Linked DNA regions of Rattus norvegicus. The protein of the gene in region 1 interacts with the protein of each later gene in a biochemical or structural test. Links are inferred from orthologs where the notes say so. Each region holds a gene or a part of one and is shown in the gene's direction. Other genes may lie near its edges.

What was found.
Region 2: the proteins of Vcp (region 1) and Atxn3 form a complex in vitro, tested with the Homo sapiens proteins (5 studies listed by BioGRID and IntAct, with this or other methods). The link is inferred for Rattus norvegicus from reciprocal best matches to the Homo sapiens genes VCP and ATXN3.
Region 3: the proteins of Vcp (region 1) and Nub1 form a complex in vitro, tested with the Homo sapiens proteins (2 studies listed by BioGRID). The link is inferred for Rattus norvegicus from reciprocal best matches to the Homo sapiens genes VCP and NUB1.
Region 4: the proteins of Vcp (region 1) and Ube4b form a complex in vitro, tested with the Homo sapiens proteins (2 studies listed by BioGRID and IntAct). The link is inferred for Rattus norvegicus from reciprocal best matches to the Homo sapiens genes VCP and UBE4B.
Region 5: the proteins of Vcp (region 1) and Ngly1 form a complex in vitro, tested with the Homo sapiens proteins (2 studies listed by BioGRID). The link is inferred for Rattus norvegicus from reciprocal best matches to the Homo sapiens genes VCP and NGLY1.
Region 6: the proteins of Vcp (region 1) and Sprtn form a complex in vitro, tested with the Homo sapiens proteins (2 studies listed by BioGRID). The link is inferred for Rattus norvegicus from reciprocal best matches to the Homo sapiens genes VCP and SPRTN.
Region 7: the proteins of Vcp (region 1) and Htt form a complex in vitro, tested with the Homo sapiens proteins (3 studies listed by BioGRID). The link is inferred for Rattus norvegicus from reciprocal best matches to the Homo sapiens genes VCP and HTT.

The regions. Positions count from the first base shown.
Region 1 is NC_086023.1:62,008,388-62,011,887, reverse strand, and holds part of Vcp (transitional endoplasmic reticulum ATPase), read left to right. Parts: coding exon 1-74; intron 75-154; coding exon 155-290; intron 291-1,035; coding exon 1,036-1,148; intron 1,149-1,628; coding exon 1,629-1,793; intron 1,794-1,895; coding exon 1,896-2,018; intron 2,019-2,602; coding exon 2,603-2,815; intron 2,816-3,010; coding exon 3,011-3,319; intron 3,320-3,480; coding exon 3,481-3,500. UniProt on the Homo sapiens protein: Necessary for the fragmentation of Golgi stacks during mitosis and for their reassembly after mitosis. Involved in the formation of the transitional endoplasmic reticulum (tER).
Region 2 is NC_086024.1:126,869,982-126,874,230, reverse strand, and holds the start of Atxn3 (ataxin-3), read left to right. Parts: upstream 1-1,449; 5' UTR 1,450-1,554; coding exon 1,555-1,578; exon of another isoform or gene 1,579-1,694; intron 1,695-1,728; exon of another isoform or gene 1,729-2,200; intron 2,201-2,227; exon of another isoform or gene 2,228-3,031; intron 3,032-4,249. UniProt on the Homo sapiens protein: Deubiquitinating enzyme involved in protein homeostasis maintenance, transcription, cytoskeleton regulation, myogenesis and degradation of misfolded chaperone substrates.
Region 3 is NC_086022.1:11,356,147-11,359,646, reverse strand, and holds part of Nub1 (NEDD8 ultimate buster 1), read left to right. Parts: intron 1-3,211; coding exon 3,212-3,379; intron 3,380-3,500. UniProt on the Homo sapiens protein: Specific down-regulator of the NEDD8 conjugation system. Recruits NEDD8, UBD, and their conjugates to the proteasome for degradation. Isoform 1 promotes the degradation of NEDD8 more efficiently than isoform 2.
Region 4 is NC_086023.1:165,049,397-165,052,572, reverse strand, and holds the end of Ube4b (ubiquitin conjugation factor E4 B), read left to right. Parts: intron 1-730; coding exon 731-877; intron 878-1,348; coding exon 1,349-1,410; 3' UTR 1,411-2,676; downstream 2,677-3,176. UniProt on the Homo sapiens protein: Ubiquitin-protein ligase that probably functions as an E3 ligase in conjunction with specific E1 and E2 ligases. May also function as an E4 ligase mediating the assembly of polyubiquitin chains on substrates ubiquitinated by another E3 ubiquitin ligase.
Region 5 is NC_086033.1:11,604,329-11,607,828, reverse strand, and holds part of Ngly1 (peptide-N(4)-(N-acetyl-beta-glucosaminyl)asparagine amidase), read left to right. Parts: intron 1-200; coding exon 201-423; intron 424-2,750; coding exon 2,751-2,872; intron 2,873-3,500. UniProt on the Homo sapiens protein: Specifically deglycosylates the denatured form of N-linked glycoproteins in the cytoplasm and assists their proteasome-mediated degradation. Cleaves the beta-aspartyl-glucosamine (GlcNAc) of the glycan and the amide side chain of Asn, converting Asn to Asp.
Region 6 is NC_086037.1:69,753,559-69,757,788, forward strand, and holds the start of Sprtn (DNA-dependent metalloprotease SPRTN), read left to right. Parts: upstream 1-1,430; 5' UTR 1,431-1,694; coding exon 1,695-1,915; intron 1,916-1,925; exon of another isoform or gene 1,926-2,196; intron 2,197-2,515; coding exon 2,516-2,615; intron 2,616-3,334; coding exon 3,335-3,463; intron 3,464-4,230. Other genes in the region: Exoc8 (exocyst complex component 8), read right to left, coding at 1-1,164. UniProt on the Homo sapiens protein: DNA-dependent metalloendopeptidase that mediates the proteolytic cleavage of covalent DNA-protein cross-links (DPCs) during DNA synthesis, thereby playing a key role in maintaining genomic integrity.
Region 7 is NC_086032.1:80,101,169-80,104,668, reverse strand, and holds part of Htt (huntingtin), read left to right. Parts: intron 1-991; coding exon 992-1,171; intron 1,172-1,275; coding exon 1,276-1,452; intron 1,453-1,665; coding exon 1,666-1,742; intron 1,743-3,115; coding exon 3,116-3,254; intron 3,255-3,500.

The DNA.
Region 1 (3,500 bases):
AGGAAGCTGAAAAGAATGCTCCTGCCATCATCTTCATCGACGAGCTTGATGCCATTGCACCCAAAAGAGAGAAAGTAGGAACCTACCCAATGGGATGGTAAGGACTTGTGAGGTCCTGACCTAGCTTCTGACCAGACATACTACTGTCTTACAGACTCACGGGGAAGTGGAGCGTCGCATCGTGTCTCAGTTGTTGACCCTTATGGATGGCCTAAAGCAGAGAGCACATGTGATAGTTATGGCAGCAACCAATAGACCCAACAGCATTGACCCAGCCCTACGGCGATTTGGTAAAGACCTTAAATTTTTTTCCTACACCACCCTTTTTTTTTTTTTTTTTTTTTTTAATATATAAGACAAGAGTTTCTCTGTGTAGCCCTGGCTGTCCTGAAACTATGAATACCAGGCTGACCTCAAACTCAAGAGATTGACCTGCCTCTGCCTTCTGAGTGCTTGGGATTAAAGTTGTGCACCACCATCGTGCAAACCAGCCTGTCCTTACTTGTTGATATATTGTAGGGTATATTGTTGGTATGTCTGTTGGGCTTGATTTCCTTATCTCACCTATGTCTTTAAGTTACTTAATCCTCAGAATTTAAGTTCTTTGTCATGACAGGACCTAAGGTTTTTTTTTTTTTTTTCCATTCTGTGTTCTCTCTAGGGCACTCCCTCAACCTTTCTAGTGCTGCGACCCTTTAATATAGTTCCTCATGTTGTAGTGACCTTCAATCATAAAGTTGTTACTACTTCATGGCTGTAATTTTGCTACTGTTATGAATTGTAATGTAAAATATTTGTCATAGAGGGTATTTGATATGTGACACCCACTCCCACCCCCGTTAAGTGGTTGTTCTGTCCCAGAGGGGTCGAGATCCAGGTTGAGAGCCACTGCTCTAGAGTAACTATCTATTTTTTGCCTAAGTCTGAAAGATTTCCAGGTTGTGAGGCATTAATGCTAACTTTAAATAAGAGAGTTCTGGAGTGACTTCTGTGGACCAGAAACTTCCTATTTTACATTCCTTTATTGTCCCATAGGTCGCTTTGACAGAGAGGTAGATATTGGAATCCCTGATGCTACAGGACGTTTGGAAATTCTTCAGATCCATACCAAGAACATGAAACTGGCAGATGATGTGGACTTGGAACAGGTGGAGTGGTGATGATGGCTGGCCAGAATTTAGGATAACTCTGTTGTAGGAGGTTGCAGGGGACTACATGCATAGACTAAGAAAAGAGGCTTCATATCAGTAATCTAGAACGGGGGGGGGGGGGGAGGACGGACAGGAGGAGCCTGAGTTTGAGGCTTGTTAGGGCTACACAGCAAGGTCGTTGTATCTTTTCTTTTTTTCTAAAAAAAAAGCTGGATGGACTTTGTTTTTAACTTCAGAGCAGGAATGTGCTTCTTAGTTGTTGCTGTATGTATGAGTTGTTGGAGCAGTTTTATTTTCAGCTCCCCAATCCGGTGTGAATATTTAACACCTCTGCCTGTAAAAGGTCTGCTATAATATATCTCTTCAAGGAAACAGGAAGAATCAGAGATATGAAACATGGGATGGAGTCAGGATTCTGTTTCTGACTTGATAAGGTAGCTGGATCTTGAGGATGGTCAGTATATCTTCTCTTTGCAGGTAGCCAATGAGACTCATGGTCATGTGGGTGCTGACTTGGCAGCCCTGTGTTCAGAGGCTGCTCTACAGGCCATCCGGAAAAAAATGGACCTCATTGACCTAGAAGATGAGACCATTGACGCTGAGGTCATGAATTCCCTGGCAGTTACTATGGATGACTTCCGGGTAAGGACCATATTACACCCAAATTAGGAATATGTTTATGTATTTTGTTGTGAGGACCCCGCCCCCAAGTCTCATCTCCACTTTTTCAAACTCCCTTTTTAGTGGGCCTTAAGTCAAAGCAACCCATCAGCACTTCGGGAAACTGTGGTAGAAGTGCCACAAGTAACCTGGGAAGACATTGGAGGCCTGGAGGATGTCAAACGGGAGCTTCAGGAGTTGGTTCAGGTAGGCTAAGTTTTGCTCTAGTATGGTGGGTCATTCCCTCAGTATATAATAATCAACTTTTAGGTCTCAGACTGATTTACTAAGAATTGAGCGTATAACTCTGTTACAGAGTTTTAGATAATAATGAACTGCCCTAAGTTACTGCTGCTACAGTGAAGTACTATGACAAAAAGCAAGTTAGGGAGGAAAGAGTTCCACACTGCTGTTCATCAAACAGAGCAGGAGCTGATGCAGAGGCCATGGAGGGGTGCTATTTAAGGCCTTGCTTCCAAAGCCAGCTGTCTTATAGAACCCAGAACCATCAGCCCAGGGGTGGGACCACCCACGATGGGTGGGGCCTTCCCACATCAAAAACTAATGAAGAAAATGCCTTATAGCCAGATTTTATGTAAGAATTTTCTCAAGGTTCCCTTTTTTCAGATAACTCAAGTTAGGTGTCAGGTTGATATAAGACTAGGTAGCATGGAAGCCTATATACAAAAAACTTGGATGTTAGACGTTTGTATCATAAAGATGCTATGCTTCTGATATGATTTGATTTAAAATATGGGGTTGCCCTTAAATTATCTTTGCTTTTCTTCTAGTATCCTGTGGAGCATCCAGACAAATTCCTCAAATTTGGCATGACTCCTTCCAAAGGTGTTCTTTTCTATGGACCGCCTGGCTGTGGGAAAACCTTACTGGCCAAAGCCATTGCTAATGAATGCCAGGCTAACTTCATCTCCATCAAGGGTCCTGAGCTGCTTACCATGTGGTTTGGGGAATCTGAGGCCAATGTCAGGGAAATATTTGACAAGGTAAGCTAGATGGCTAGCTGATGTTCATATGTATGTATGGCAAGGGGCAAGGTGGAATGAGAGGTTATTTCTCCAGACGCAAAAAATTTTATTACTGGCAGCTCAGTTGGGGCATTACTGATTACTCTGTTTTCTTCCTGAAGTATGAGAAATCTAGTTATATTAGTATTTGAGATGGTCTTTTCTTTTTCATAGGCACGACAAGCTGCCCCCTGTGTACTCTTCTTTGATGAGTTAGATTCAATTGCCAAGGCTCGTGGTGGTAATATTGGAGATGGTGGTGGAGCTGCAGACCGAGTCATCAATCAGATCCTGACAGAAATGGATGGCATGTCCACAAAAAAGAATGTGTTTATCATTGGAGCTACCAACCGGCCTGACATCATTGATCCTGCTATCCTAAGACCTGGCCGTCTTGATCAGCTCATTTATATCCCACTTCCTGATGAGAAGTCCCGTGTTGCCATCCTAAAAGCCAATCTGCGAAAATCCCCAGTTGCCAAGGCAAGTGCAAAGTTGTCAGCCATAGGGACTTTTTCTGTTAAGCAGATGTGGAGTGGCAGAGGCAGAAGCCAGTCTGTTTAAAATAGAAAGTCCAGAGACCCTGTGCTCTGTGGGAGGAAGGCACAGTGCTAACAGCTAACATACTCTTGTGCTTCCTTTAGGATGTGGATTTGGAGTTCTT
Region 2 (4,249 bases), on another chromosome or scaffold:
ACCGTACCTACTAGGTATGTTGCAGAAGCATCAGATCCCCTGAATCTGGAGATACCAAATTCTGTGAGCCTCTATGTGGGTTCTGAGAATCAAACCCAGGTCCTCTACAAGAGAAGTGGCAAATGCTCTTAACCTCATAGCCAGTTACCTTCTAAATTGCAATGAATCTCACCTCACAGCTCAAAACAGCTTCTGTAAACTCCAGGCCAGACATCTATTACTCACAAAAGTACCTTATGTTGCACAGACATTTAAACTCATTATTCCCCAAATTAAACCCTTGTCTTCCCTTCCCAAGACCCTGCTCATTCTGCACAGTATTTCTGGTTGGAGTATTACTCCTTCTTTAGGTGGTACCTACAGCAGACACCCACAAATCTTTCCTAACAATAACCCCTTTCACCCCAGTTCCTCACCAAAGTCTTCTGAGTCTGCTTCCTGAAACTTCAAATTGGTCTCTCTCCATTCTCAAATCACTACTGGAGTTCTGACCACCATTGTCTCCTCATTTCTCCCAAAATGCCTTTCAAGTATTCTGTTCCCCAGTGATCTTCTAAAATTCTAATTTGACCCCATGTCTCTAGTTTTGAAAATCTGTAACCTCCTGTAGGTTTTTTGTTTGTTTTGTTTTGTTTTTGGTTGGGAGGTGGCGGGCAGGATCGTCCTAGAAACCCTGGTTACAGGCTGCCACAGTCCAACACAACATACTCCTCCTACCTTCAGGTGCAAGGATTAGGAGAATGAGTCTTTGTACCCAGTTTCTTTGCTGACTTTGAAGAACCTAAAATGGTTCCACCACACAAGATCCGCGCCCAAATAACACTTAATCTTTGTCAATCCCTCCCCCACCCCCGGCGCGAGCCACTCAACATTTTACTGGACTTTTCACTTCCCCATCGACGCTTCCTCCTTCAGATATTGTACATTTATCCTGGGACCTGATACTCATTCCGACAGGCAACTGTGTTGGACACTGTGCTATTCTAATTTCTTAGTGCCTACATTTCTTCATTTGTATAATAATATTACAACATACACACACATCAAAAATGCCGCATTAAATCGCACTTAGAAGTGGACTATTATAAGTCAGCCCTAACTAAATACTAGCTATAGTTTTCACACAAATACTAGGTATTGGGAGAATGCCTTTTTTGGAATGAGGTTTTCAGTGGGAGAGGAGGTATTACACGTAGTTGAGCAGAAAGTACCAAAAAAGGTGGAAATGGAGAAAAAAAAAAGAACCTAAAACCTGGCTGCGAGGATTCTCATCTAGAACCCTAGAATCACAACATTGTCTAGCGTAGAGAAGTTCCTCCGCACAGCAGGCGGCGCCGCAGCATCACACACGCGGCGGGAGGACCAGCGCCGCCCAGGTCACGTGTCCCGTGCTCCCCGGCTCGCGTGCCGCGTGACGTGCGCCCGCAGTAGTGATTGGGTGGCGGGAGGCACGTGGGTAGGGCGGGGCGGGCCGGGGCGGAGGGGTGGGGCCGGGGGCGGAGCTGCTGGAGGGGGCTGCTCCGCGCCGGGGCCGTTGGCTCCAGACAAATAAACATGGAGTCCATCTTCCACGAGAAAGTGAGTGTGGGCGTTCGGTGGGGAGCCGTCCGCGGCTCGGCGGCGGGCGTGGGGAGCAGCGTCGCCGCTTCAGGAACTCAGGCGGGGCCCGAGCGCCCCCATCCCGACTTGGCTGGGTGAGGGGTGCTTCCTGCCTTCCCCCCATGGCACCGTTCATGAAGCCTCCCGCATGCGTCTCCGGCACCCTCACCCTAAAAGACCGGGCGGGTAACCTGGGCATTTCGGGGGGCTTCATCCGGAGGATTAGCGCGGGCGTTTCTTGTTCACTTGCCACGCCTTTTCGGGTTTCTTCTATCTTCTCTCCTGTGGTCTAGTCTAGCGAGACGCCTTTCCACACCTGACGGACCCTTCCCAACTCCACCCACTCCCCCTGACCTATCCTCTGGCAGAACCAACTTTCTCTCTCAACTCAGTTCTATGATGGAATGTCCCATGCATTTAGATCTTGGTGATCTATCCCACGTCCTTCTGCAGTTGTGACCGTGGCTCTCCCATTGAAGGGCCTGACACTTGGGAAGTAAAGTAGGAAATCCCGGAGGGAAGTCGTCATAAGAGTTTTTATTACGGGATGTTTGGGCTGCTCTCCCATTTTTCCGGACCAGGAGGCCAGCTTTGTTTTTAGGTATTATGGATAGATTAGAATCTTTCTACTGTGTGATTTGGCTAGTCTCTTCCTCACCTTAATTCCTAAGTGACTACGCTTTACAGTATTGTGACATCTCGAGAAACTGGTCTATGCTCGCATACAATTATCAAGTCATTTGGGTGTTCCTCGGACAACTTTGGCATGATTCCGTGTTTCATAATCATTTTAGGTTTGGAGAGGGTTGCTAGTTGAGACTATTATTACAGTTGGAGCAAAGGCCTTTGTTTTTATCATTTGTAAAGGAGCATTCATTCACAACGTTTAAAGTCCATGCACGACAAAAGAAAGACAAAAATGCTGTAAATCTAAGGAAGTTGTTAAATGAAAGTGTTCTTAAGAAGACCTTTCATAGTGTTTTTGGAACTGGAACAAGTTAGTTTGTGACAAGATTTCTTGTAGCCCAAGCTGGCCCCAAACTCTCCATCCTACTGTCTCTGCCTCCTGAGTGCTGGCTGGGATTATGACCATGTGCCCTGACTCTGAGTGCGCCACCCCCTCCCCCACTCTTTTGTAATTTTCCAAAGGCTTTGGGATAAAGTCCATTTTAAACATGTTATACTCTTTGGGATAAAATCCATTTTAAACATGTTATACTTTATACACTGTTTTGTGAGACTCCTGCCATGTATTCTTAAAAGAAAAATGCATGTGCTTGTGTGGAGGTCAAGGATGACTTGATAAAGTCTGTCCTCTCTTTCCAACTTGGTGTGGATTCCAGGTGTCTGAGGCTTTGGCAGCAAGCTCCTTTACTCTCTGGGTCATCTTTAGGGTGAATGAAGGAAGAAATGGAAAGGACATGACTTCTAGGTATGGTGAAGGAGAAAGTTTATTAAAGAGATGTGGGAGAGCATAGCCTGGGGCAGACACATTTGGGAGACCCCAGAGTTGTCATGACCCTGAACCACATGGGGAGAGGGAAAGGAAATACAGCAGCCAGGAGCCAAAGGTGCAGAAGTATACCAAAGAGGTTGGGTTACCAAAATACATGAATTACATAGGCAAGGACCACTAGGGGAAGGGCAGCTAGGCCATGGTCTGGAGAGTTCAGGGTAGAGAGTAGGTATACCAGCTATACCCTGGTATAAGTAGGGACTAAGGGATGCTGGGAGAACCTGGAGTTCAGGTCCGCTTTGATATGTTAAATAGGTACCTCTGCCACCTACCATCCTGGGATTGAAGCTCAGCATAGGGCTCTTAAACAATACACTAAAAAATATGTATTTTTTTGCTGGCAGGGGTGGTAGGCCTTTAACCTCACACTTGGAAGGTAGAGGCAGGGGAATCTCTAGTGAGTTCAAGGCCAGCCTAGTCTACAGAGAGAGTTTTAGAACAGCCAGCTCTATACAGAGAAACTGTCATGGAAAACAAACAAAAAAATTGTATTGGTGTTTACTGTTGTGTATGTCTGTGCACTGTGTGTCTGTTGCCCACTAAAGCCAGAAGATTCCCTGGAACTGGAGTAACAGGCTTGTGAGTAGCTGTGTGGGTGTTAGGAGTTGAACCGAGGTCATCTGGAAAGCCAGCCTGTACTCTTAACTGCTGAGCCACCTCTCCATCTCCCTCAATACCTTCTTTTTTTTTTTTTTTCTTTTTCTTTTTCTTTTTTCTTTTTTTTTTTGGAGCTGGGGACCGAACCAGGGCCATGCACTTGCTAGGCAAGCACTCTACCACTGAGCTAAATCCCCAACCCCCCTCAATACCTTCTTGACAATATTGATTGTTCCTCATTTGAGCAGATTTCAGTGAAGGTAACTACTGAATCAGTATATCCAAAATGCTAGGCTAACAAAGACTTACTCAGGCCAAGGATATGCCTCACCTGAATAGTGCTTGCTGTGTAAGCATGAAAACCAGAGTTCAGATCCCAGTGTGTGTTTGTATCCCCAGTACTTGAGGCAGGGAACCGAGCCAGGTGGGTTTCTGGTTGCTGACCAGCCAGTCTAGCTGAAATCAGTGAGTTCTAGGCTCAGTGAAAGACTATCTCACAAAATAAGGTGGAGCGCAACTGAGGAAGGCATTTGACTT
Region 3 (3,500 bases), on another chromosome or scaffold:
GGGGTGAGCTTAGAATACCAACATGGGGTGTTCTGTAGGACTGCCCCAAGACACCAGTGAACTGTCCCAAGTTAATGTTAGAATTACTTGCTATCAGGAGAAAAAAATAACCTTCTCTAGGTAACTAGAGTTTAGTTGGTTATTAGGTTGGTTTGGTGTGTGTTCTGTTTTAGCTTTTTGAAACAGGTCTCATGAGGCCTGGATTGGCCTCAAACTCCATAGGACCTTGATCCATGGGATCCATAGGATCTTCCTTCTCTGCCTCCTCAGTGCTTAGATCGCAGGTGTGCTCCACCATGCTCTAGAGACATTAGAAGTTTTAGAAAGTAATGTTTTTGTACATTTATTTACTTGGGGTGGGTGGGGGATGGGGTGCACATGGGGAATCAGGGCAACTTGCAGGAGTTGGTTCTCTCCTTCTATGTGGGCTCTGGAAATAGAAAAGTTGTCAGCCATGTTTTGACAGGGACCTTATCTGTTGAGCCATCCTACTGGCCCTGAAATTGATTGTTAAGGTGTTTTATTTTCAAAAATTTCATGTTTTATAGTGATAAAAATAATATGTCTTCCTGGATTAAAAATAGAACCGAGCCTAGTCATACGCACCAGAAATTCTAACACTCTGGAGGCTGAGGCAAGAGGGTCACCAGTTCAAGGACAGTCAATTGTATACTTAGTCTCCTTCACCACTGGGGCCGTCCAAGAGTTGGGGTGATGCGCCTGAGGCAAGAGTTTGGTTCACACCTGTTAGGCTGAGGTTGCTGCTGCCTCCACACTACTTCAGTGTAAGTTGTTGTCTGTAAGCAGGTGAGGGCCGGTGAAAGATAAGACTAGAGCCTGTGATTGGGTAGTGGGAAAAGAAGTGGACTGAGAGTTTTAGAGACAGTACAGAGAGACAGAGAGAGGAGACAAGACCTATACTAGAAAAGGAAGACGTACTGGATCCACAGGGCTTGAAATAGCCATAGGTGGCTATGGATATCATAGAAGAACAATAGAATAATGTAGGGCAATTTGTCCAGTCTAGGTGTGCAGCTTTTATCAATATCGATTGAGTTTTGAATTTTTTTGTGTGGGTGTTTGTGAGTTGAGAATTAACAAATTACAAGCCTCTGGAGGTTTCTTTATACGGGATTCAGGGTTTCCAGAAAGTCTTGACAGACTAGCCATAGGGGACAGATGCTTGGGAATCTGAACACTTCAGTGGTTTGGCTAGGGAACTGGGTAGACCACCGCTTGGGGATAGCTGTGGGGGCAGGGAGACCTCCACAGCTGGAGGGAGAGTAGCCGTCAATAGCATACATTTTTTTTTAATAATTACATGCTATACTTCATAGTAAACTATTACAGAAAAGTCAGAGGAGCACAGCTAATGAAACCAAGATGGCTTTGCAGCCATTCACTCTCATGAAACAGTATTTATGTGCTGTGCTGATGCCGTGTCCTGTGCTTACAGGACTGGCATCACAGTAGACTTATTCACACCAGCATCTCCCACACATGCAACATGGACATTAAAATGGCCTCTTCTGCTCTGAAAGAGATGACTCAGCAGTTAAAAGCTTGCTGAGGACCACAGTTCAGCTCCCAGTACCCATATTGGTGGCTCACAACTGCTTGTAACTCCAGGTCCAGGGGATCTGTTGCCTTCTAGAAGGTTTCCATAGGAACCTGCACACACATGTACACATGCACTTCTACTGATACAAATAAATTGAAAATAAGCCCTTTTTAAAGTGGCACTTGAGCTTATGTTTGGTCTGTCATTGGTCACAGCATAAAGAAGACAATTTTATAAACCATGGTGGGCATGCCTGGAATTGTAGTACCCAGGAAGTTAATGCAGGAGGATCAGAAATTCAGGGTCATCATTGGCTATATGGCGAATTTAAGACCAGCCTAGATGAGATTCTATCTCTATCTCAGAGAGTATATTTTTAAAAACATAGTAAACATCAGTGATATGGTATTCTTCCAGCCTTCTCCTGATGCCTATTTAAAATGTATTATGATGAGGATGCCATCACTGAAAGAAAAAACAAAGAAGCTGGAGAGTTGACCCAATAGTTAAGAGCACTTGTTCTTACAAGGACCCAGGTTCAATTCTCAGTACCCACACCACCTCCTTGGGCATTGGGCACACGTGTGCACAGACGTGCGTGCAAAAAAAACCAAAAAACCAAAAAAACAAAACACTCATACACAAAATAATAAAATAATCCTAAAAAAAATTAAAAACAAACAACAGCCAGGTAGTGATGGCTCATACCTTTAATCCTAGTACTTGGAAGGCAGAGGCAGGTAGATCTCTTGAGTTCAAGGCCAGCCTGGTCTACTGAGTGAATTCTAGGACAGCCAGAGCTATGTAGTGAGACTGTATCTCAAAAAAAACCAAAACAACCCCCCCCCCCAAAAAACTTCCCATCCAATGATGATGAACAGTTCACTATTTTAAGAAGTTTTTTTTTACAGTTATTTATGTATGAGTGCATGTGTTTATGTGCCTGTGTATATGCAACATAAGCATGATTGGTGCCCTTGGAAGTCAGAGGAAGAACATTTGAACCCCCAGAATGAGAGTTGTGGGTGGTGGTAAACTACCATGTGGGTGCTGGGAACCAAACCCAGGTCCTCTAAGAATGAAAGATCCTCTCAGCCACTGAGCCATCTCTCCAGCCTCTACAACTTTGAAAAAAAAGTAGCCGTGTGTGTGCATGCGAGTATGAGACACTTATGGAGGTTAGAATTCAATTATAGGACTTGGTTCTCTCCTGCCACCTTGTAGGGCCCAGAGATTGACCTCAAGGCATCAGCCTTGGTTGGCCATTAGTCATCGTCTTCACAGCCCTAGTTGACTGCTTCCTAAACTAATTTCTTAGTCTATGAAGGTCACAGGAGTCTCAGCCTCCCTCCATCTCTCTGGAATAGTCCCAGTTACTCTCACTCTGACCAGCAAGCTATTTTTACTATTTATAAGTGTTTTCATTTCTCCCTGAATATCCTTGAGAGCCCAGATTGAGTTTCAGTACAGTGGGGGTATCTGCTGGTAAGAATTATGTTGCTTTGGGAAATATACATATATACTATCTATATATAATAAATATATATAGTGTTTATTATACACACACATACACACACACATATATATTTTGTTTTTTGGTTTTTTTGCACTGGCCCTCCACTGAGCTCCGTTTCTGGTTTCTGCTCATAGGACCTTGCTAAGAGGTACTCCGAGCGGCTAGAGTGCTGTGAAAATGAAGTGGAAAACATAATAGAGGAAATCCGATGCAAAGCGATTGAGCGCGGCACTGGGAATGAGCACTACCGCACAACTGGGATTGCTACGATTGAGGTGTTCCTGCCTCCGAGGCTCCGGAAAGTGAGTAGCTTTAAGACCGCCATGCTGTGCTCATCTGAGGAGCAGTTGTGTGGTTGGTTTGCTTGGTTTGGCTTTTTGAGTCAGGATCTTTTTGTGTGTGGTTCTGTCTGTCCTGGAATTC
Region 4 (3,176 bases), about 100 Mb from region 1:
CACAAGGGCGACTGCCATCAGTGTTCTTGATTGTTTGACAGTACGCTGTAGTTGATTCTGGAGTATTGTCTAAAATTGTGTGTACAAATTGTAGTTAATATTATAGATTAAAATATTGAACATTCGGGGCTGGGGATTTAGCTCAGTGGTAGAGCGCTTACCTAGGAAGCGCAAGGCCCTGGGTTCGGTCCCCAGCTCCGAAAAAAAGAACCAAAAAAAAAAAAAAATATTGAACATTCAGGGCTGGAGAGATGGCTCAGTGGTTAAGAGCACTCACTGATTGCTCTTCCAGAGGTCATGAGTTCAATTCCCAGCAACCACATGGTGGCTCACAAGCATCTGTAATGGGACCTGATGCCCTCTTTTGGTGTGTGTGAAGACAGCTGCAGTGTCCATCCCTAGTGTGGTGTCTTCAGATAACCACAAAGACTTTAAAGACAGCTCTGTCATTACAAGGAAGGAGTGGGGATTGTAAGGCAAAGGGTTCTGCCCTGAGGGCCGCCTCGTTGTCCGCTTTTGCTCTCTTCTCCCAGCAGCAGCTACAGAAGGCAAGGCACGGCATGCCCCTTCATCTGCCATCATCGTGCTGCTTTCCCCTACAGGAAGGGACTCGGGGGCTGCTGGCTCCACAGTGCTCCCTGAGATGTCTCCCTGGTAGAAACCGTCTGCTTTTGCTCTTCGGGGTTACCCCCCACCAGTGGGTTAGCTTGCTCTTGCTCTGTGTCCACAGACCCTCTGATGGACACCCTGATGACTGATCCCGTGAGACTGCCCTCTGGGACCATCATGGACCGTTCTATCATCCTGCGGCATCTGCTCAACTCCCCCACCGACCCCTTCAACCGCCAGATGCTGACTGAGAGCATGCTGGAGCCAGGTAGGAGGCCCAGCTCGCCTTGCTGCGCCGACCAGTGTCAGGGCCAGCGAGGGTAGGAGACTAAGAGCAAGCCCGGTGCCCGGAGGCCTGTGACCTCAGCTATTGAGTGGATGAGCCAGAAGGGGGTAGCCTGTTCAAGGCAAACCCAGACAATTTAGTTGTGATCCTGTCTCAAACAAAAGAAAAGATGGCTAGGCCTACACCCACAGAACCCTTGGCTAGATGCGTACATCCCCAGGTTCAGTCCCCAGCACTTTTCCATAGAAAGCACACAATTTAAGTTCTTTTTATGGAAAAGACACAAAGCACTGGGCTCACTTTGGCTGTAAATGTCTTCCTGTCTGTGGCTGTCTCTTCCACAGTCCTCAGCATCTTTGGGGAATGAGCGGCCTTTTCTTTCCACTTAGATAGGACTGCAAGCCGAAGGGCCTGCCCACCTGGGCTGTTAACCCCCTGTCTCCTCTCCCTCAGTGCCAGAGCTAAAGGAGCAGATTCAGGCCTGGATGAGAGAGAAGCAGAGCAGTGACCACTAAGTGTCCCATCCCATCGCATCCTCAGCTGGAAGCCGCCAGCCAGCCAGCCAGGCCAAAGCAGCATCCGCCTCGAAGCTGCTTCCAACCAGATGTGAGCAGATCCTGAGAACCCACCCCGAGTGACCAAGCAGTGGAGATGGAGGGACATGACAGAAGAGGATTCCTGTACATATATTTAAGTGACAACAGTCAAGCTTGAGGGACGAATTTTCCATGGCTTGTGTAGTAAAGCGCGCCCTTCGCCTGTCGCCCCTGGGGCTGCGGCAGCGGAAGTGTTTAGTGACGAGTGGGTCTGGGCAGCTTCCCCTGAGCTTACGTTTTTGTTTTGTTTTTTTCGATGTGACTAGAGAACTCGGACATTTTGCTGCTAAAGAATCTCCCCTCCCTCACCCACTGGCACTGCTGTGGGATTTTTAAAGAGACACAGACCCAGACTCCTTTCCCGGCCCTCCAAACATGTATTCTGTGAGGTAACTGTGCCTGCGACGAAGTGTTAACCTGGGGATCGTATTTTTATATCATATTCACAGACTTGTTTTTTTAATTGGTGTTAGATGACATGATTAATAAAAAAGGCAAGATATTTTCAGAATTTGAATTTCAGGTTTTTTTTTTCTTTTGAAATAGCCCTTTAAATTTTTTTATTATAAACAAAATGAAGAGAACCCTGTGGGCCTGGTCCTTCTACCACCCCTCAGTTATGATCCTGAGAAGCAGGTGCGACAGCAGGCTGGCTGGAGTGAATCAGGACTCGTGTGACTTGTGGGGTTTGGGGGAGGTGAGGGTTGTGTTTTGTTTTCTGTTGGTTTTTTTTTTTTTTTTTTTTTTTTAATCCTATGTGACAATTCCAATCCTAAGCCGTTATCCTCTGAGGATGAATAAGTTCCTCAACCCTGGGTTCTTTTGTATGCTGTGTCCTTTTGGGGTTTGGCCTTACCAAAGCAAAAAAAAAAAAAAAAAAAAAAAAAAAAAGGGTGCAAGAAATGTGGAAATCTGTCTGCTTGTTTACATGCCCGGACAAACACCACCACGTAACCACGTAGGCGCACTCGAGCAGAAGTACTACCGCTCCCTACGCAACATACTTGAATTCTTAAATTTCCTTTGGGGTGAAAAAGGATTTGAAACCATAAAGTGTTTTAAAGAAATGAAATCTTCAGAAACATACTTTTTCTCCTCTTTTCCTTCCTCCTCCTCTTCACAGTCTGTGCTCTGTTCAGTTCCCAACACAAACGACAATAAACGGTGATGCCCATTCAGAAGGAACCTTCTGTGACTCGTCTCTTTGTGGAAAGAAATGGGTGGGGAAGGCTGGCATGGTGGCGCACACACTTAACCCCAGAACTCCCAGAAAGAGGAGTTTGAGGTCCGCCTGGTCTACACAGAGTTCCAGGTTCACATAACAAAATCCTGTCTTTAAAAAAAAAAAATTACGGGGCCAAAGAGACTGCTCAGCAGTTACAGGAGCAGAGAGGGAATCAGATTTAGTTCCCAACACCCACAGCTTACAACTGCCTGGAAGTCCAGTTCCAGGGGACTAGAAATCAGGCTCCTGTGGGCAGGCACTGATCACACATGTGATGTGCACACACAAAGCATTTATACACATAGAATTCAAGGAACAAGGCCAGACAAGAGCCAAGTGCGTGTGGAGAAATGTTCTTCCTGGAGCCAACTACAAACTGCTCACCTGTAAAACTAAGCACTGTGGGCCATTGGGATGACTCGGGATAACTTGCTGCTAACCCCGGTGACCTTAGACTGAT
Region 5 (3,500 bases), on another chromosome or scaffold:
GGATTCCTTCTGCTCTAACTGCACTCACACAGCTTACTGTGTGTGTTAGCACCGTTCACAGCATCTGACATCGCTCCTTGCATATTTGTGAAAGCTTTTATCATCTTATGCTTTCATATGTTTCTGCTCCCAATCTGAGTATAGAACGTTTTGGATTTTGTGGGCTTTAAACCTTAACTGGTTCTCTTCTAACTTCCAAGGTACTAAAGTAAGTGATGAGGATTTCCTTCTACTGGAGCTCCTACACTGGTTTAAAGAGGAGTTTTTCCACTGGGTGAATAACGTTGTGTGCAGCAGATGTGGCAGAGAGACTAGATCTAGAGATGAGGCCTTGCCGCCCAATGATGATGAGCTGAAGTGGGGCGCCAAGAATGTGGAGGATCATTACTGTGATGCCTGCCAGTTGAGCAACCGCTTCCCAAGGTGGGTGCCTGCAAAGTGAGGTGGGCGTCTCTCAGTGGGACAGGTAACAGGGATTTATTATCAAATTAGACTTTTACTCTCCATTTTAACTGGACTTGATATTTCTTTAGGACAGAGGTCTACAGACGAGAGTGGCAGTCTAGAGCAGCCACATCCACATTCTCTGGTTTTCTTAGGACACAACCCACTGACTTACTAGTCCTGTGACAGTTTTCTGACTGCAAGAGTTGCTGAATACTGATGACTGTAAGACTAAAGATCAAAATATTTACTGCCTGGTTTTCTCTGTCTTTTCTGTCTCTCTCTCATGTGTATGTATCTATGTCTTGTGTAGCCAGGCTGTCCTGGAACTTCTGATTTTTCTGCCTCCACTTGTTGAGTGCTAAGATTGTATGCGTGTATCACAGTGTATCCAGTGCTGGGGACTGAACTTCTAGCTTTGTGCATGTTAAGCAGGCACTTGACCAACTGAGCTGATCTCCAGTCCTTACTGCCTCCTTTTATGCAGTTTGTTGACTCCTATTCTAAGGCATACATTTCTACATATATTCATAGCATTTTAAAGTATGAAAGTGCTGTGGTCTACAGTGACAGTATTAGTGATAGTGACACCATTATAAAAGTAAAATAGTGCTATCTTTAATCGTAAGATTCAGGGGTAAAAGTAACTATAAGGGCAGAAGTTGTTTTAACCAGGACTGCCTCTGTCCCAGCCTCTCATATCCATCTCAGTCTCTGCATTTTTCTTGTTTTGTTGATTGGTTTTGTTTTTTGAGACTGAGTCCTGCTGTGTAGCTCAGTTATCCTCCTACATACCAAGATTACACATGTGTACCACTAAACCTGAATATTTTAAACTTGGGAAATTAAAAATTTTCAGTTTACTGTTTTCAACCTTTAGTTTATAAGCATAGTTAGGAAGTTTAGTTTTATTACACAACAGAAAAGATGGCACGCGTTTGAAAAGCCTGTTCTATTGGAGTTTAGCACTCAGCTTGTCCTAATGTGGAACCAGCCCTACATTATACATGAAAGAACATTATAATACCTGATGCTTGTATAAGCACAAAACACTCACCAGCCCTTCTCAGTGCAGAGTGAAAATCTCAGTGCTCTCTATTCTTATGGTACATTAGTAACTGAAATGACTTTTGAGAGAATACTTCAGATGTCTTGCTCGTAAACTTTAGCAAGCATTTTTAAGTGTGTCCAGAAAATTAATCAAAATCATTATTAAGAAGAAAACTGGAATTTATACTAAGTTACAATATCATAAGCAGAGTGAGAAGTCCAGCTATGTTTACAGCCAGGAAGAATGAAGTCTTGTTCAACCACTTCTACCTTAGGCCCTGAAGACAGGTGTCTAGCGAGCCCCAGAAATCCTGTCTCCCTCACCCACAGCTTTGGGATTACAAGTATGCATGGTCACACCCAGCTTTTTACATGAGTACTGGGTCCAAAGTCGGGTCCTTATTTTTCAACAGAAAGTGTTCCTAAGCACTGAGCGAGCCGTCTCTCCAGCCCTACTCCCCCCAGCCCTACTTTTGGTTTTCATGTTTGGAGGCAGTGTCTCATGTAGCACAGGCTGGCCTTGAATGACTGAATTCCCAGTCTCCTCCCTCCAAAGCCCTGGATTATACTTGCACAATACCATGACATCTTTTCTGGTGATAGGAACTAAGAGTTCACGTATGATAGGCAAGTACCCTAAAACTGAGCTGAATCCCTGCTCCTGCCCCTGCCCCTGCCCCCAGCCCCCTGCCCCCTGCCCCTGCCCCCTGCCCCTGCCCCTGCCCCTACCCCTGCCCCAAGCTAAAAATCCATTGAGAAATTTCTAAAGATAATTACACAGTAAGCGTATTTACTTGCAAGAGAACCATTGAAGATCTTAATCACAGTTTTTAGAAAACCTGCCCATCTAAATATTTTTAGAAACCAGTCAAGATGAAAATTATTCCCTCCAGCCATTCTCCTATGTCTTAGCTGTTACATGGCTGTTTTACTGATTCTGCTTGTGTTGGTATGGATAGGCTAATCAGTGCACTTAGCTCTTTGAAGTGGTAGCATCCATTTTTAATTAAGACAAAACTGACTGCATATACTGAACTACACTCACTGAAGACAGTTCCACCTTTTAAGCATGATTCACAAAGACTAGCACAGTGCCTTGTATAGACCATGTACTTTTATCAATATTTTAAAATAGGAAACTAAAAATTATGAAAATCATGGTTGGTGTTTTAGAGTACAAGTGATGTAAATTCCTTAAAAATTGGATTTTAATCATGAATCACATCTGTTGTCTTTGTTGTTTTTTTTTAAACCAGATATAACAACCCAGAGAAACTTTTGGAAACAAGATGTGGACGCTGTGGTGAATGGGCCAATTGTTTTACGCTATGCTGCCGTGCATTAGGGTTTGAAGCTCGATATGTGTGGGATTACACAGGTACAGCCTGGGTAGGAGAGAGAAAGAGACTAGAGAAGAAGTGGGCTTTGTAAACTTCTTTTTCTCACATCCCCTGAGTTTTCTGTTAGCCTTCTGTAAGGTAACAGCAGTACCAGCCTCAACAGGCATTTTCGAGACTCTGTAACACTTATAACACAGCTGCCCCATTCCCAGTACCTGGATTCTATCCTATTGGTGACATTAGCAGTGGCCCTGTTCTGTGTGTATGGAAATGTGTGTAGTAACATGCTGTCCTGTCATGTTTAAAGGATTGCTGTAGGTGACGTAGTAAGCCTATACTACATTCTACAGGCATGGAGGATAACCTTGGTGTTGGACTTGGTCTTCATTTAGAAACAACTTATGTCAGGTCCGTGTTGAAGGTCACTTTCCCTGTTCCAGGGTTTTCTTTGTTTTTACTGTTGTCTTTATTTTTATTTTTTTTATTTTTTTTATTCGATCTATTTCTTTACTTACATTTCAAATGTTATTCCCTTTCCCGGTTTCCTGTCCATAAACCACCCCATCCCCTCCCCTCCCCCGTATGGGTATTCCCCCTATCCATCCTCCTTACTGCCACCCCCCAACATTCCCCTGCACTCGGGGTCCAACCTTGGCAGGACCAAGG
Region 6 (4,230 bases), on another chromosome or scaffold:
CTCAAACACAAGCACCTCGGTGAGCTGTCGCACTCGTTCATCCACTTTGGCCCTCAGCTCTTTCACAGAAGGTGGGCTGGGCTTATCTTCAAGATAGTGATTTAATTTGTCCAGCAAGTCCACGGCACCCTCAAAGTCCCTCTGCGCAATACAAACATCCAGGTCTTCCGGCAACTCCTGGATCCACTCCATGGAAAGGTCAACCTTTTCCTCCTCTGCCTCCGGGGTGGCCAGTTCCTCCTCGGCCTCATCCTCAAACGGGTTGCTGCCCTTGGAAGTGACCGGTGGTGGCGCACGCAAGGCGGCTGCCTCCTCCTGCTCCCGTCTCCTCTTGTCGCTGAGCGCCCTCTTGGTTTCCTCCAGCACTTCCAGCCACTCGCGTTTAATCTTGGCATTTTCCGCTTGAAAGATTCGGCTCTCAGGGAACATGAGCAGCTTGAACATGTCTTTCATAGGTGGATTGTCTTTGACGTTGACCACAGCCAGGCGGTCCAGTGGGTAGAGTGCGTTGTAGCGGTACATGCCTCGCCGTTGTGGTAGCCAAGTGGCCACCAGCAGACAGTCGTTCATGAGGAAGCCATGCACTCGCTGCAGCTGGGCCATATGGTCTGCCTCGTATTCCACCAGGTCCCCGTTGTACACAAGGTACTGACCTGGTGTCTCCAGCAGGTCCCTGCAGCCCTCCACCTTCTCCAGCAGCGTGGTGAGCGTTCGCTGCTTGCCCTCCTCTCCCGTCCCGGGGCCCTCGCGAGGGACTCCGGCCGGCCCCGGAAGAAAGCCCGCCTGGGCCGCCCCGCGCTCCCGCGGTCCCGCGCCCGCCGTGTCCTCACCCGTGGATGCGCCCGCGGCAGCGGCGGGCAGCAGTGCCAGCGGGATGCTCTCCAGACTGCTCTTCTGCTCCGTCAGCAGGTGGCTCAGCTGGTACATCTCGCTCTCCAGGTAGGAGATCTCGCGCGCCGTCTCGATGAACTGCCGGTAGTTCTGGTAGACGTTGCGCTTCAGGTTCTGCGCCGTCTCCTCCGCCAGCGCCTGCACCCGCTGTCGGTGCTCCTGCAGGTCGCGGTCGCCGTCCGACTGCTGCGACAGTTGCTTCACGTACAGCCGCGCCTCGAAGCCCCCCGACTCCAGCTGCCTCCGCAGGCGGCTCGCCCCGCTGTCCGACATGGCTGCCACCCGCCCTGCTCCCGCGGCCCGCAGTGGCTGTCACTCGCCGCCTCCCGGCCCCACCCGAGCCCGGTGGAGAAGCGGTAGAGGAAGCGGGGCGGGAGCAACACCCAAACGCCTGCGCCGGGGCCGAGCGCTGCATTGCGCCTGTGCCAAAGTCGAGACTCTCACACTGCGCCTGCGCCCGGGGCGGAGTGTCGACGACGCGCCTGCGCGGAAACGGCAGCGTCTTAAGGCGCGTGCGCGGACGGGCCAGTACGGAAGTCAGAGGAGGGTCGGGCACGGACCAGACTTGACGTGAGGCGCTGGACCTCGGCGGCGGTCTGGAGACAACTGGCTTCCTGAAGCCGTCCCTACCCCGAGCCCAGCGTTCCTAAGTCTGTGTCCGCGGGGCAGAGCCGAGCCACCTTCGGTTAGGCGTTCGAGGCGAGCCCGCGCGCCCTGACAGCGGGGCCGGGAGGTCTCGCGAGATCCGTACGCCTCACGAGCCCGACCGGCGTCTTGGGAGCGGCTGAAGTGAGAGTATCGGGATGGACGAGGATCTGGTGGTCGCGCTGCGGCTGCAGGAGGAGTGGGACGTGCAGGCGGCGCGGCGCGCGGCGGCGCGGGAGCCCCTATCGTTGGTGGACGCGTCCTGGGAGCTGGTGGACCCCACCCCGGACCTGCAGGCGCTCTTCCTGCAGTTTAACGATCGCTTCTTCTGGGGTCAGCTGGAGGCCGTGGAGGTGAAGTGGAGTGTGCGCATGACACTGTGAGTGCGCCCACGAACGGCTCGGAACGTAGGGAAGGGCAAGGGCGCTGAGTTGTCGTTGGTGTGTCCCCTCCTCGTGGCCCAACGGCTCTCAGAGATGTACCAGCAGGATCCCTCATCTACCCACTGAGTTTGAGAAATCCTGTTCTAGATAATAATCTGCCCTGCATATACACCGTCACATAGCAGCCTGAGCTGAAGCAGGCTGAGACGTAGCGTACTTCTAACTTCACATCGGCCCCGTGACAAGTCCCGGTGCGGAGCAGAGAGGATAACAGTGGGTGAGGGTGTGAGGGTGATCAAGTGTTATTAAAAAGCCCTCTATCAGGGACTTTCGTTGAACTGCCCAAGGATAAGGATTTGCTGGCTCTTTTTTTTTTTTTTTTTTTTTTGGAGACAGGGTCTCACTATGTATCTGTGGCTGCCCTGGAATTCACTCTGTAGACCAGGCTGGCCCGGAACTGGGAGATCCTCCTGCATCTGCCTCCCACGGACTAGGATGAAAGGCCTGCGCCACCATGCCAGGCGAGGGTTTGTTTTTTGTTCTGTCTCCTTTGTGCATTGGGTGAACCTAATCCATTGTCCGTGACTGTTTTCCAGGTGTGCTGGCATCTGCACCTATGAAGGGAGAGGAGGCATGTGCTCCATCCGTCTCAGTGAACCCTTGTTAAAACTCAGACCAAGAAAGGACCTTGTAGAGGTAGTCTTCGCATAAACTGGTTCCTCAACATTTAGATTTTTATTTTTCAATGATGTGTTCTTGATAGTAGCTCATACTATCTTCAACCACAAGATCCTCTGGTCTCTGCCTGAGGGCTTACAACAGTGCATCACCATTCCCGTCCAGGGTATTTTGTTGATTTTAAGAGACAGTCTCTATTCCTTAGATTGGCCCTGGTCTTAATGCTTCTCTTGCCTCAGCCTCTCCAGTGAGCTGGCATGCAAGTACCCAGCTATTTTTAGAGGGCGCAGGGTTGTGGGGGGTTTGATGGTGAGGGAGGCAGAGCTTGCTGTAGCCAAGCTGATCTCAAACTCCTGAGCCTTCTGCTTCCACCTTGAGTCTGGGATCATGGGTCAGGATCATGCCCAGTGGCCGTTCAGAGCTGGGCTGCTTGCTCTTTTGGTGTCCGCATTTCCATTGTTGGCATCTGGAGTCTGCATGGCAGAGTTTTGACTCTATTGGATGTTAAAGTTTTTGTGTGGTTGGGTTCACCAACCTTTTGGGTTTGGGTACATAGTTAAATGGGCCTTCCTAAGCAGCGTTCATTCTGTGAAGAGGGGTACTGGGTTCTGTAGAGCTTGGAATATATGTAAAGGTTTGTACTTGGCTCTGCAGAAGGCTAAGACTGCAGGTTAAAAAAGAATTCATTTTAGCTTCACACTTGCCCTAGAAAATCAATACTTGGTTTTGTGTTTCAGACTCTCTTGCACGAAATGATCCATGCTTACTTATTTGTCACTAATAATGACAAAGACCGAGAAGGACACGGCCCAGAGTTCTGTAAACACATGCATCGAATCAACCAGCTGACAGGAGCCAACATAACGGTCGGTACACTGAGCCACACAGGTTTGGGGAGCAGGCAGGACCAGGGTCTTGGCTGTGTAGACCAGTCTTGCCTCATACTCAAAATTCTAACTTAGCCTCCTAAGTGGTGGGATTGTGGGTATGTCCCACCACGCCTAGTAGCCATTCATTCAGCAAAGGGGAACTAGGTAGAAAGAGATTTTCAGCCTTGAACAAGAGTCCTACCATTTAGTCTCTAGGGGTAGAGTGGCTAAGGAGCCTGCAGGCCTCTTCGTTGAGGCTTCAGCAACTGCAGGCCAGCATTTCAGGCATGGGACCTTCAGGAGTGACTCCAGCTCATCTTCCCTGAGCTCTTCTGGAACCATCGCTGCTATGCAGTGGCGTCACGGCAGTGCCTGCTTTTGAGATCGTGACAGTAAAGGATGTGCGGTGCACCGTGAGCACTGACAATGTTGTTAACTATGAGGGTCTTGTGTGATTGCTTAGGAAGGATCTGGCCCTTTTGCAGTTTTTATCATTCCAGGAACTTAAGGAAGTGTGTGCCTCCTCACCTTTCCTTCTGTGCAGTTTTATTCTCTGTGTGCGCTGATGCTCCGCTTGCATGTGTGCCTGTGGGAGGGCGTCAGATCCCTGGGCTCTGTAACCAGAGTTACAGATGGTTGTGAGCTGCATTGTGGGTGCTTGGCAGCTGAACCTAGGGTCCTCTGTAAGAGTAGCCTCTTACCCACTGAGCCATCTCTCCAGCCCTGTGGTCTCAGGTCTTTCTCTCTATGGTAGCTTAGTAAGG
Region 7 (3,500 bases), on another chromosome or scaffold:
TACTTGACACTCCCAATATTGAAGTCATTTTTATATTTTGTTCCATTTTTGAGAAATGTGGTATAGTGGTGTTTTTTACAAAGAAAGAATAATTTTATAATTTAATACTATCCAAATAGTTGCAAGTGAAAAATATTAGCATTAACCAGATGTCAAAGATTCGATCAGGCTTTGGCTTCTGTCTAGGATTATGAACTAATCCTACAAATGGAAAGGTTGCATATTTTGTTTGTTTGTTTGGTCAATTTTTATTTTTTTCAAGATAGCGTTTCTCTTTATAGCCTTGGCTGTCTTGGAATTCACTCTGTAGACCAGGCTAACCTCATACCCTGAAACTTGTAGAGGTCTGCCTGCCTCTGCCTCCCAGGGGCTGGGACTAAGATGTGCATCACCACCTCCCAGCAGGTTACCTGTATTTTTAACTATGGTTGTTATTTATTTTTCTTATTAACAAACAAAAAAACCTTAAGTGACATTTTCCCATGTATTGGGCAGCTGTGTTTTTTGATTCAGGAACTCTATCAAATCTGTGGCATTTATTGTCTGTTTTAGCCACTGAGCATTACAGACAGAGTAAGTAAAGCAGCCCATGCTAGGCTGGCCTGCAATCTGGTGGCAAGTTCTATTCCAACATGGGGCTTCCTTTGTTTCCATGCATGCAAACTCCAGGCCAGTCACTAGGGAGGGCTACACCAGACTGCTCACCTTGCTCCTGTGGGCAGCTACCTCTTGGCGTGTCCAAGGAGCCAATTCTCTGATATTGAGGCATTTGCTAGTGTCTCTGGGAGCTGACATTGCCCTCAGTTCTTGGCTTCCTGTGGCCTCTACCACATGTGATCGAGGTGTGAGGCTCTATAAGTTTCCTTCCTTTCTCTCATTTACTTGTACTCAGACACTTGTCTTCACCAAGGCAAAATTTGTATTTGGAGTGTGTTTTTCTTTGGAGCCTTCTTGTCTACTTGAAATGTATCTTTTATTATATCTTTTCTAGTGTCAGAATCTCCATGACTCAGAACACTTAACATGGCTCATTGTGAATCACATTCAAGATCTGATCAGCTTGTCCCACGAGCCTCCAGTTCAAGACTTTATTAGTGCCATTCATCGTAATTCTGCAGCTAGTGGTCTTTTTATCCAGGCAATTCAGTCTCGCTGTGAAAATCTTTCAACTGTAAGTCTTTAGCCTGCCAGTTTGCTTTGTCCAACTTACTGGGATTTTGTCAGTACCAGTTACAAGTCTGAGGAATAATAAATTTTGTTCCTTCTCAACATTAGCCAACCACTCTGAAGAAAACACTTCAGTGCTTGGAAGGCATCCATCTCAGCCAGTCTGGTGCTGTGCTCACACTGTATGTGGACAGGCTACTGGGCACCCCTTTCCGTGCGCTGGCTCGCATGGTCGACACCCTGGCCTGTCGCCGAGTAGAAATGCTTTTGGCTGCAAATTTACAGGTACTGAGAAATGGTGATTTATATCAAAACTTAGAAAGTCAGTCAAAACATTTGGTCTGCTGACCTGGTCTTGATTAGCCACTGACAAGAGCATGTGTGCAATGTTTGTTATTTGTGTGTCTGACCAATGTCTCTTACTAGGACACTGTGCGTAGCACTTTATCCTATTTAAGTGCATATCACAAAAGCCCTGATGTATTCTTGTCTGTGTAGAGCAGCATGGCCCAGTTGCCAGAGGAGGAACTGAACAGAATCCAGGAACACCTCCAGAACACTGGGCTTGCACAAAGGTAAGACTGTAGCATGGGGTACAGGCATTTGGGTATTAACACATAGATATGTACAGGAACAAAGAGGCAGGCAAAGGAGTTAGTGTAGAGTGAGTTTACTGCAGCAGTGCCACAGTAGAGCTGGCTGTCTAACTGTCACATGAAAGTCTCACTGTAGTAGACATGAAGAAGTAGCAATCAAACACCTGTTGCACACACGAGGTGCTCCTGAACTTTCTGACTGTTGAAGGGATAAGAAATGTGTTTGTTGCCTCTGCTCCTGGACCCTTTAGGAATGGGAATAAACATAGAACCTAATTGCTAGGTTAGAAGGAATAAATATGAGAGCTCTACTTGGCTCTTGGCATGTACACATGGTATTTGTGTATTGTTAAGTGACCTCTCTTCATAGCAATTCTTTTGCCTATTTGTTTGAAAGTCTTTTAGAAACCTTTATTAGAAACATTTCAATCTGAAGTATAAGTGTAGTTCCTTAGTCAAGATAAACTAAGAAAAACTTTTACCTCTTTTCCGCCATTGTTAATAGGATAGGGAGCATATGTGCATAAAAGAGGGTGGTTCTCTCATAACTTTAATCTTAGAGTTTTTATGAGGGTGTTTCATAATGGGACAGGGCATAGTCTAGATAATTTTTTTCAGTCTGCAAAGCCACACAATGTTGTCATTTGACATACATAGTATCACATTGGTTTTGGATAGTAAGAGAATAAATTGTCATTATGTTTGATAATAGATGTAATCAGAGGCCTAGATGAGGAAGGTTATGACATCATAAATTATATTGATATAATTATTAATCATTATATAATGATATAATCATGATTATGATTATCATAAATATCTTTGGGCCAGATGAAATGATTTTTCTGTGAAGTGACCCTTCCTAATGAAATGAATTGTGTCATTATGGAGCATTAAATGGAGTTTGTGCGCTTGGATCGTAGAAGAATCTATCTGTTTTGTATATATTACAAATATGATGGCTAGGAATGTGTAATTCAGTGATAGAGCACTTGTCTAGCATGCACAAGTCCCTGGGTTCCATCTCTAATACTGCCAAGAAAACAAAGAGTAGAATAGAATAGCTTTATTAGCTGTTATATATTGTATTGCCTCATGGAATGTTGGGCATAAATGAAACTTCTGCAAAATATCAGTGAGGTATAAATTGTGGTAATTAAAAGTAAGTAGGGTCTAAGTGTGTGTCGTGACTTTAGGATGTTGAAGGGAAAGGTCAAGCATGTGCACCTTGTTAAGAAGCTGCTTCTGCTTGTTGGTATTACATGTTTCTAGAACTCACCTGTGTACAAATTGAGTTTCAGACTAAAGAATAAACTCTGGTTTATTTTACTCTGGTTTTGTTTGTATTTCAGACACCAAAGGCTCTATTCACTGCTGGACAGATTCCGACTCTCTACTGTGCAGGACTCACTTAGCCCCTTGCCCCCAGTCACTTCCCACCCTCTGGATGGGGATGGGCACACATCCCTGGAAACAGTGAATCCGGACAAAGTAAGTGTCCAGTATATCTAAGTATGATGGCCAGAGACCATGTGCAGACAATGGCAACCTCTGTCTCTAGTCAGGATGATAATGGTGACTGTCAGCACACATGGGCCCCTGACATGCAGCTCACTCAGGTCATCAACTGCCCTGCTTGGGATTAGAGTGCAGTATGGAGGCCATGAGGGCCTACTGAGAAAAGGAGTGCTAATGTGGACTTCTGTGGAGGTGTATGGGGTCGAGTCAGGCGCCTAG